Canis lupus familiaris: one gene and its partner. The protein of the gene in region 2 interacts with the protein of the main gene of each other region in a pairwise test. Links are inferred from orthologs where the notes say so. Each region holds a gene or a part of one and is shown on either strand. Other genes may lie near its edges.

The links. The genes of interacting proteins can lie anywhere in the genome.
Region 1: the proteins of IRF9 (region 2) and IRF1 interact in a two-hybrid assay, tested with the Homo sapiens proteins (2 studies listed by BioGRID and IntAct). The link is inferred for Canis lupus familiaris from reciprocal best matches to the Homo sapiens genes IRF9 and IRF1.

The regions. Positions count from the first base shown.
Region 1 is NC_049232.1:20,768,519-20,773,841, reverse strand, and holds part of IRF1 (interferon regulatory factor 1), read left to right. Parts: intron 1-921; coding exon 922-1,021; intron 1,022-1,860; coding exon 1,861-2,037; intron 2,038-2,142; coding exon 2,143-2,192; intron 2,193-2,299; coding exon 2,300-2,432; intron 2,433-2,622; coding exon 2,623-2,742; intron 2,743-3,194; coding exon 3,195-3,244; intron 3,245-4,156; coding exon 4,157-4,292; intron 4,293-4,615; coding exon 4,616-4,728; 3' UTR 4,729-5,323. UniProt on the Homo sapiens protein: Transcriptional regulator which displays a remarkable functional diversity in the regulation of cellular responses.
Region 2 is NC_049229.1:4,278,629-4,284,132, forward strand, and holds the end of IRF9 (interferon regulatory factor 9), read left to right. Parts: coding exon 1-20; intron 21-344; coding exon 345-528; intron 529-734; coding exon 735-865; intron 866-958; coding exon 959-1,037; intron 1,038-1,140; coding exon 1,141-1,212; intron 1,213-1,753; coding exon 1,754-2,095; intron 2,096-2,944; coding exon 2,945-3,060; intron 3,061-3,219; coding exon 3,220-3,348; 3' UTR 3,349-3,675; downstream 3,676-5,504.

The DNA.
Region 1 (5,323 bases), on a different chromosome or scaffold from region 2:
CCTAGTGGTGAGAAGATGGCTGGAGGAGCAAGGGACCTGAGAATTAACCTTGCACTGCTGGCCCAGGCTCAAGAAACCTCATGCTGGTGCACAAACCCTGCAGACATAGTAGTAATAACAATATTCATAATAATGCTTACTGTCCACTCCCTATGAGCAAGTGTGATTACTGTGCTACGTCTGTTACTTACGTTGTGTCATTTAATCCTCACAGTAGCCCTGTGAAGTAGATCCTGTTAATAGCTCCATTTTCAGATAAGGAAAACTGAGGCACTGAGAAGTAGATAATGAGATGACACAAAAAGTGATCAAGTCAAGATTTGAACCTGAGCAATCAAACTCAGAAATCCAAAGTGTTAACCACCAGTAATGATAACAGTGAGACTTAGTCTTTATATTTGTCACTGTGATTTCTCATTTCACAGAAGAGAAACCAATGAGGGACCAGGAGGTATAGGGACAGTGCCAGTGTCACACAGGTAGTCAGCATCCAAGACTGGCCCAGGGCTCCCTCCCTGTGTAGGAGCCAGTGGTCCCAATTGTCCTAAGCATCCCCATTTAATGGATGGAGTTTTCACTTCTGCGTTGGTGCTGAAAAGCCAGAGAGCATCCCAAGGTGCTCCTTATGGGTCCCAGCACACCTGTAACAGGCAGAGGGAGAGCTTTGGTGAGCTGATACTGCCATAGCTCTTCAGAACCCAGAGCCCCTTCTGAGAGATCTAGAATGATAGAGTAGTCTGTTTAAGCCATTCTCAGGATGGGTCAACTCAAGCCAGATGTCAGGGTGAAAAGGGGAAGTCAGCTTTTTCTCAGACTGGGGGGGGGGGGGGGGGGCGCGGCGGGGCTGGGCAGGCTCCTGCTAAAACCCTGTGGCTTCTGAGCTGACACAGCCTTGTATATATGTGTGTGTGTGCCATTCAGGAGGAGATGATTTTCCAGATTCCATGGAAGCATGCTGCCAAGCATGGCTGGGACATCAACAAGGATGCCTGTCTGTTCCGGAGCTGGGCTATTCACACAGGTGTGTGCCCTGGTCTCCAGCCCTGGAGGGCCAAGGAGAAGACTAGAGGAATCACTTCTATTAACACAGAGGCTCTTCATCGGGTTCCTTGAGATTGTGTACAAAATTTGGGGGTGAGCAGGGGGCAGATTTGTATTTCTGGGGAAAAGTTCCATCATTTCAGCAAGTTCTTAAAGGAACCTGTGAAATCAGCGTCTTCAGCAAGTTCTTAAAGGAACCTGTGAAATCAGCGTCTTAGAAAGTGTGATTTCAGGGAGTTTGTAGCTGGATTAAAGCTCCTTGGGGCAAAAGCAGTTGTGAGCCTGGATACTGAAAGACCCAAGTCTTTGATTTTCTTGATGTTTACCAAGGTCCTGGCCCAAGGCCCATCTGGTTGGCAGCCTCTTTTTATCCTTGAGGTCTGGAGCTCTTGGTCCATCTCAGATCAGACAGCACACCTATCAGTAACTGTTCTTTGATGCCTCCTCTTTGTCCACTGCTGTGTTTGGAAACATCAGATAAACCCTAGTCTTTATTTAATCTCTGGCTGCTAACAGCCCAAGCAGGGAGACTGGTTCTGGTCCAGCACCAGTACAGCCCGTGAAGACATACAGGCCCTCTAGTGCTTCTGGCTGGGCCCTTCAGAAAGGTCTGCTGGATGTGTCTGAGTCAAGCATGGGCATTTGAGAAGCCCCAGGGCTTGTAGAGGGTCACCCAGGAATACCGTCTGTTTGGCTAGTGTGGATCTCTGGCAGCATGAGAGCTTAGGGGTACTCTTGCCTTCCTCCTCCCAGGCCAGACAGCAGCTAAGGATTCCCACCTCTGGTCCTTATAGTCCTCTTCACTCTTCTGCCGACTAGGTCGATACAAAGCCGGGGAAAAGGAGCCAGATCCTAAGACATGGAAGGCCAACTTTCGCTGTGCCATGAACTCCCTGCCAGATATTGAGGAAGTGAAGGACCAGAGCAGGAACAAAGGCAGCTCAGCTGTGCGGGTGTACCGGATGCTCCCACCCCTCACCAAGAACCAGAGAAAAGGTATCCAAGGGCTCTGGATCCTTGGGAAGCTCAAAGGGAGGGAAGAAGAAGGGCAGCGGGGGCTGGTGTACCTGTACCAAGACTGATGGCCCATCTGCTTTGTAGAGAGAAAGTCCAAGTCCAGCCGAGATGCTAAGAGCAAGGCCAAGAGGAAGGTGAGTGTGGCCCTGAGCTACTAGTCTTTGGTCCCCCGGGAGTCAGGGTGGGCAGTGGGAGAAGTGCCACGGCAAGCCTGGGCCTAAGCTCCTTTCTCTTGTTGCAGTCATGTGGTGACTCCAGTCCTGACACCTTCTCTGATGGACTCAGCACCTCCACCCTGCCCGATGACCACAGCAGCTACACAGCTCACGGCTACATGGGGCAGGATTTGGAGGTTGAGCGGGACCTTACTCCAGGTGAGGTAGGCCAGGTCTGGCAGGAGGCCACACAAGGTCACAATGGGATGGCTCCTTCTTTTGGGTCCAGGAGGCAGCGTGCTTGAGGAGGGGGTGGCAGGTTGGAGCAGGCCGCGGGGTCAGGGATGCTGCATGTCTTGCAAACTCAGAAAGCAGCCAGTTCTGACCTGTGGTTTCTGCTGTCCCTCAGCATTGTCACCGTGTGCCGTTACCAGTACTCTCCCTGACTGGCACATCCCAGAGATAGTGCCGGACAGCACCAGTGACCTCTACAGCTTCCAGGTGTCACCTATGCCCTCCACTTCTGAAGGTTTGTGCCCTTGCGGCCCACATGCCTGCCTGTTTGGGTCCTGGGGAGGGTTTCCTGAGGGAGAGAAGATGCTCAGAACTCTACCTGGCACTGACCGAGATGACTGTGCTGTGCTGGAGAAAAGAGGGAAGGGGGCCCAGGGGCTGTATTTGGGTCTGAGGTTGCTCAGTTCCCTGGCTCCTCTGCAGCCCAGTCTCTGTGGGTGAGGAAGGAAGCAAGGGGGTGGGAAGAGGTGTGGCTTCAGGGTGCGGGAGGCTGAGTCACAAGGACAGTGTCCTGTTCTGGAATGTCCATAGCAGGTACATGTCTGCTGGGAGGTATGTGTGTGTGTGTGTGTGTGTGTGTGCGCACACGCACGTGCGTGGTAGGGCAGGCACTATGGTGGAACTGCAGGGGCAAGCCTGGTTGACTACCAGCCAACCTCTAACCTCTCTGCTCTTCCCCATCCACAGCCACAACAGATGAGGACGAAGAAGGGAAATTAACTGAGGACATCATGAAGGTAAAGCGCATTCCTCCCTGAGCGCTCTTGTGAAGTGGCTGCTTCTTAGGAGAGAGAAAACTACTTAGAGCTCAACACATTGGAGGGTGGAGGCAGCTGCTACTGTGACCTGGCTGCTTGTATCATCCTATAAGTGCCACATCCACTGTGCCCTCCTTGGCTGGTGGGAAAGACACTGGGGAAGTGAGGACAGTGGGGAGGCCTGGTTTCTGACAGGCTGTCCTGGAGGCAGCCCTAGGGCCTGGAACCACTCTGAGTCAGCCAGCACCAGTGCCTGGTCCCTGGCCTGCGTCCTCTGCCCCAACAGGCCCCAGGCCTGCTGCCCTGTTAGTTAGGGAAGTGCACATCAGGTTTTAATAATCAGCTTTTGGGATCTGGGATCTGATGAGGGATTTTTTCCTTTTCTTTGTTTCTTTTCTTTTTTTCCTTAAAGCAAATTATTCTCCAGGGGTGTGTTGTTTTTTTTTTTTTTTTTTTTTTTTTTTGTCCTGCTTCAATCTTAAAAGCGAATATAAAACAGTTGTTGCAGTAGTTGTACCCAGGCTGTGTTTCATCAGCATAGAAAACTTGAGACGTAGGCATAGCTCCCTATCTCTAGCTTTTCTTTTCTTTTCTTGACTTGTGATGCTGTTACTTTATGCCACATTCCTGGTTGGTATGTCCTCACTCAGCTGAGGGGGAAAGTCTTAGGAGATTCTGTGCCAGAGGGGAGATGTAGGAGCATGAGTCCAGGGCAGATCCACAATTCGCAGGCCCCTGTCCTAACCACAGTCCACATTTGCATCCATCTGAGAACATGCAAATGACCAAGGGTACGATGCTGGTAGGGAAGGTTTGGCTCACTGAGGGCAAGACCAGAGGATGAATCTGCCCTGGAAGTAACCTGATGGTTCCTTATTCCTCTGTCACCAGCTCTTGGAGCAGACGGGGTGGCAGCCGACAAACGTGGATGGCAAGGGGTACCTGCTAAATGAACCTGGGACTCAGCCCCCCTCTCTCTATGGAGACTTCAGCTGCAAGGACGAACCAGAAGTTGACAGCCCTGGGGGTAAGAAGTCCCTGTAGCTGGAAGGTTTCTCCGAGAAGCGAGAAACTGGCAGGGGGTGGGTAGGAAAGGGCTGGGGGACTGGGCTAGGGAGCAGGAGAGGCAAAGCATCTTTCTTCAACTCTTCTTGGTACAGACAGCTTACAAACTGGCTGCTGCTCCCACGTACTCAGGTCTGCCTGAAGATGGAGGCAGGGTGCTTACTGCCATGTGGGGACAGTAGAGGCGGCTGTGTCTGTGGCCTACAGGGATAGGGCTGAGGGGCAGGAGGGGAACACACCTGTCTTTACCCTCCATCCTCATACAACCTTCTTCACATCTTCTAGGGTATGTTGGGCTGATCTCTTCAGATCTGAAGAACATGGACACCAGCTGGCTGGACAGCCTGTTGACTCCAGTCAGACTGCCCTCCATCCAGGCCATTCCTTGTGCACCATAGCTGGGCCCTGGCCCCTTTGACTCCCCTAGGTGTTGAGCAGGACCTGGCATCATGGTTGCCATGATGCAAAGAAACAGGATTCCTGTGGGCTCCTTGACATGGCAGAGAATGACTCCATTGCTGAGCAGGGATGGAACCTCCCTCCTTAGGACAGTGACCCTTTAGGTTCTGTTAGGCCAGGGTCTGGGCTCATCTTGTGGGGTAAAGCTGGCCCTGCCTCCTGGGAAGATGGGATTATGAGATTGATGTGTCAGATGGAACTCTCAGAGAGGAGTCAGCCTCCAGCTTTCCCCCTCAGCCCGACTGCCTTGAAAGGGTCTCGCTGTTGCTGAGGTGGCCCAAGGGAACAGACCAGTGACCTCAGAGAAGCACAGCACCAACCCCAGGGCTGGCTCTGCACTAAGAGACAATTGCACTAAGGGAATCCTGTTCCCAGAGACCCTCCCCCCCTTCCCAGCTGAGCCCTAGGGACTGTTCCAAAGCCAGTGAAATGTGAAGGAAACGGGGCCCTGCAGGACAGTGCTCCCTCAGCTGTAGAGGAGCTCCGCCCTGCTTGGGCTCAGGGGCTTGGGAAAGAACATGGCACTTTTTCTTG
Region 2 (5,504 bases):
AGGATGCCGCCTTCTTCAAGGTGACAGCGCGGAAACTGGAGCCTCCAAAGGAGGGGTGGGGTATACACTGAAGCTCTCACCCCCAAGGACTTGTGTCTGCCTGGGTTTCAGATAAAGGGGAGATGGGAGGGTAGAACCAGCTGCGTGATCATCACATCCCGTGCATGGCGAAAATGCCAACATTGTGAAGGATTTCAAGAGGGCAGTAGCGGAGCATAAACCTGAGCGCTGGCCCTTCTGTGCAGATGCTCGGGTGGCCCGTCTGCCTGGTGATGCTGGTGCAAGTAGGGGGTCAGCCGGGGTGTGTAACATGCTGTCTCTGCTTGACTTCCTGTGTTTTGAAGGCGTGGGCCATATTTAAGGGGAAGTATAAGGAAGGGGACATGGAAGGCCCGGCTATCTGGAAGACTCGGCTGCGCTGTGCACTCAACAAGAGTCCTGAATTTGAGGAGGTGCCTGAGAACGGCCATAGGGACGGAGCTGAGCCCTACAAGGTGTATCGGCTGCTGCCCTCCGGGACTCTCCCCGGTGGGTGTCCCCTTGCCCCACCCCTCCTAGCAGCAGCAGACCTGCCTCTCTGCAGCCCCTCGCTGGGACCTCTGCCCCATCACTGTCCTTGGCGAGCTCTGCTAGCTTCTCCTTCCTGGGCCTGCCCATCCTTCCACGGCCTCCTGTCCTACCCTCTGTACCCACTTAAGGCTCTGCCATTTCTCCCCTTCCACAATATTCCACAGCCCAGCCTGGGACCCAGAAATCACCATCAAAGCGACATCACAGCTCTGTGTCCTCCGAAAGGGAGGAGGACGAGAGGACCGTGAAGAATGGTGCTCCCAGTCCCTCCTTGCTTGTGGACCCCTTCAGAAATGTAAGAGCAAGGGTAGGAAGGGGGGGGTGGCGCCTGAGGGCAGGGACCGTAACTAGGGGAGAGGTGGGCCAACCATAGATCCTGTGTCTGCAGGAGGAGGTGGGGGCCAATGGGGGAACGAGCCGTTCAAACTTTGGGAGTAGCAGCAACAGCAGCCCTGAGCCCCAGGAAGGTACCACGTCCCCCGCCTCTGTTCGTCCCCCCACACTGCACCCTCTGGCCCTTGGAGTCCCCAGTCCTACTCTGAGCAATGCACACCGCTGCTTCCCTTCTAGGCACAGGTACCGCTGAAGCCCCTTTCCAAGGAGATCAGGTGTCACTGGAGCTTCTGCCCCCTCCGGGCTCAGGTACGTGGCGTTTCTGACTCATTCCTGCGCCCTGTCCCCCCCGCCTGTCTCCCTGCGGACATGCATGCATCATTGTGTCTGGCAGGGCTCATAGCAGCCCGGGCCCACCTTGCCCAGACAGAGGCACTGGTTTCTAGGCAGGATACCTGGCCAGACTCCAAACACAGCTCAATTCTCAAAAATACCCTCTCTACACTCTGTTCCCAGGAAATCCACTTTGAGACATTAATTCTGGGGGTCAAGCAGAGACCCAGGCTCTGGGACCTAAACTGTAAGGCCCTGGGTGATAGGAAAGTCTGGCAGGAGGTCCCTAGGCTGGTGAGGGTGGCGATGGGGCAGATGAGGAGGTGGCCCCTGGCCTCAGAAGATGAAGCTGCTACCCCTGTCCTCCCTTGGCTTCTCTCGCTGGACCTCACGTTTCTCATCAGCAAAATGAGGGTGTGGGGTTCTCGAGGAGCCCCTCCATCCCCCAGGCCCTGGGGCTGACCAGGCGGACCCCTCAGGTGAAGCACAGGGGCAGCTGGTGGTTCTCTGTCCACAGACTACTCGCTGCTGCTCACCTTCATCTACAGTGGGCGCATGGTGGGCAAAGCCCAGGTGCAGAGCCTGGACTGCCGCCTTGTGGCCGAGCCCTCCGGCTCCCAGTGCGGGATGGAGCAGGTCGTCTTTCCCAAGCCTGACCCTCCAGAGCCCACCCAGCGCCTGCTGAGCCAGATCGAGAGGGGTGTCCTGGTAGCCAGCAACTCCCGGGGCCTCTTCGTGCAGCGCCTCTGCCCCATCCCCGTCTCCTGGAATGCACCCCAGGCCCCACCTGGCCCAGGCCCACATCTGCTGCCCAGCAATGAGTGTGTGGAGCTCTTCAGAACCACCCACTTCTGCAGAGGTGAGGCTGTTCCAGCTGAGCTGAGCCCCTGGCTCCTTGTAGCCCCGCCCTGGGACCTGATAGGCTCTGCCACCACCCTGTGTTTCTGCCAGTAGATCCCTCATCACAGCTGATGTGTGGCACCCTGCCCTTGCACCGTGCACATCCTGTGGGGCCCTGTGCTCCGCCCTGGCAGCTGTCTGGCAGCCACCCTTCCCTAGTCCAGGCCTCGGAAGATGAGGCTCAGGTGGAGCTCAGCACACATGTCACGTCTCGGGGACTGCCCCCGCCTGGCAGCATGCAGTGATGGGAGGTGTGCCTGCTGGGCCTCTCCCGCACAGGCTCCCACACACACCCTCCCCCTATTCACCGGCCCTGCCACACTCCGGGCAGCTCCTCTGGTCATTCTTCTCCCATCCACTTCTGGAATTCTACTCCTGCCTCCCTTCACCTGTAAATCTGGCCAGGAGTGTAGGGGACACAGAACGGGAGAGTTCCAGGGCCGTGGGTGCCCTTGGGGGGGGGGGGGGCGGTGAGCCAGCAACAGAGTGGGGTACCTCTGTGTCAAGCAGACCCGGCTGCCAGGAGGACTCTTAAGTTCTCCAGCAGAGAGCTTGCAGATCGTATAAAAATCAGTTACCTCAAAGTATTATTCGAGGAAGGGGCGCCCTTTGCTGTTTGCACATGGGAGTAGCAGCTTAGTTGCCACCGTTCCTCCTGGCATAAGGCAGCCGCCTCACAACCCTGCGGCTCCAGTTCTGGCCCCACAGCCATCCGTCTTTGTCCATGGTGGGCCCCTCTCGGTCCCCTCCCTGCCTGTGGCCCCTGTCTTCTCTTTCTTCTAGCCCTTAACCCTTTTTCCTTCATCAGACCTGGTCAGGTACTTCCAGGGCCTGGGTCCCCCACCTGAGTTCCAGGTGACACTGAATTTCTGGGAGGAGAGCCCCGGCCCCAGCCGTACCCCAAAGAGCCTCATCACGGTGCAGGTGAGTTCAGGGCAGGGGAAGAGTAGGCTAGCCTGCCCCTGGAGGGCGTGTGTTGGGGTGGTTCCAGCAGGAGACGGGGCCTGGGGGGAAGACCTCCTAGGGTAGTGTCTGCTCTTGGCTGTGCTCCTGACAAGCTCTCCCCCACCTTCTCTGGCACAGATGGAGCAGGCCTTTGCCCGACATTTACTGGAAGAGACTCCAGAGGAGCAGTCAGCTGCCGTGTCCCTGCTGCAGAGCCTGGGAGACCCTGCTTCCTCCTCTCCTCTCTCTTCCTCCTATCTGCTTTGAAAGAGACTCATTCTCCACGCTGTTGGCCTGCCTCCCTCGGTGACAGTTCTCCGTGGTTGTCTCTGACAGCTGCGTCCTTCAACTGCTCATGTACCCGGCTGGTGGAGAACTCAAGGATGATCTTTATACCCCCTGTTTTTTGTTTTTGTTTGTTTGTTTTTGTTTTTTTGAGATACACCTTTCATTTCTGAGGAACTGACCTGGGAAAGTCCAAATGGTATGAACTCAGGGGACCTTTCCCTCTTCCCCCAGTCCTAAAGCCAAGCACTTTACATTTTCTTCTTAGATGTTCACTAGGGATTTAAAATAAAATTTTTTGAAAGAGGAGTCAGTATCTGCTTTGTTGGGATGAAAAGGTAGCAGGGGTCACAGGGAAGTGAAAGAGATGTAAGGTGAGAGTGAGTACTTGGGTTCTCTTCCTGCTGACCTCTCTGGGCCCTTTTCATCTCCTCCACCGGCAGGTTCTGGCTAGGACGCTGTCTGGGCTCTGTGGGTTCTGGGCCTGGGGAGAGGGGAGAGGTTAGCCACCCGGAAGAGCACAGCCTACAGCTGCTGTAGCCACCAACCTCACGCGGAAAAATCTGGGCTCTTCTCTTCTTGGCTAAGGCCTCCGATTCGGGCCTTACAACAGGCTTAGGGTTGGACTCTGGGCAGGAGTTCTAAATGAACAGGTGAACTTGGAAGTTGCCCTCAAATTCTGGGCTACAAGCACTGGGGCCTGGAATGGGCGGCAGAATCAGAGGGAAGAGCTGCTGAGCCTCCTGTGCTGAGGGAGACCAGGCCCTGGCACCTCTTCTCCCAACACATGGGGTGCTATCCTCTCAATGGAAGGGACTCCCAAACTGTTTTCCTTGCTCTACCTAAGCCCCATAGAAGACCATCTGGCCTAGGCTGCAACGTCACCCACACTTGCTCACTGAGATTTGAGGGCTCCAGGTCAGCTGGCCCCTCTGAGCCCTTACCCCCTGGGTTTGCCACCAAACTAAAAGTTCTTCCTTTTTAAGGCCACTCGTCATCTTAATCTCTCCACTCACGTCCAGACCTAAGTCACCACTTAGCTGATGTTGCAGCCTCTAGCTCCCCTCTTCCTGTAGGGGACCCCAGATTGGAGGAAGAGAGGCTCCCAGACCAGACTCCTTCCTGTCAGGCTGCTCTTGGAAGCCTTGCCTGGTTCACCTACGTGATCAAAACCTAGACGCCTAGACCCTCAAGGATCTTCCTACTGGCATGTTTGACAAACTTCAGTGCTGCCCTTGAGCTTCCTGCCTGCCTCCTTGGATCTTCCTCCGATTCAGTCTTGCCCATCGTCCTCCTGAGAAGCCAAGAGCCCAAACAGGCCTCTGCATTACCAGGGAAGAACGCAGGTACTGAGTGCTCAGGTACTCGAACTCCAGAGTCCCTCTGCTTGCTAGAATCCCTCCTGTGCCCTTGCTGCCTCCTCAACTTCATCTTCTTTCTTTTATTTTTAATTTTAATCCCAGTATAATTAACATACAGTGTCAAATTAGTTTCACGTGTATAATTACTTATCCATTTCTTTATCGATGGACACCTGGGCTGCTTCCATAGTTTGACTCTTGTAGATACTGCTGCTATAAACATAGGGGTGCCTATATCCTTTTGAACTGGTGCTTTCATATTCTTTGGGTAAATGCCCTGTAGTGGTCACTGGATCATATAGTAGTTCTATTTTTAATTTCTTAAGCACCCTCCATACTGTTGTCCACAGTGGCTGCACAGGTTTGCATCCCCAACAGAAGTGCACAGAGTTCCTTTTTTTTTCCACATCCTCACCAACACATGTTGTTTCTTGTGTTTTTTTTTTTCTTGTGTTTTTGTTTTTGTTTTTGTTTTTGTTTTTTTAATTTTTATTTATTTATGATAGTCACAGAGAGAGAGAGAGAGAGAGAGGCAGAGACACAGGCAGAGGGAGAAGCAGGCTCCATGCACCAGGAGCCCGATGTGGGATTCGATCCCGGATCTCCAGGATCGCGCCCTGGGCCAAAGGCAGGCGCCAAACCGCTGCGCCACCCAGGGATCCCTTTTTCTTGTGTTTTTGATTTTAGCTATTCTGACAGGCGCGAGGTGATAGATCACTGTGGTTTTGATTTGCATTTCCCTGATGAGTGATGTTGAGCATCTTCTCATGTAGCTGT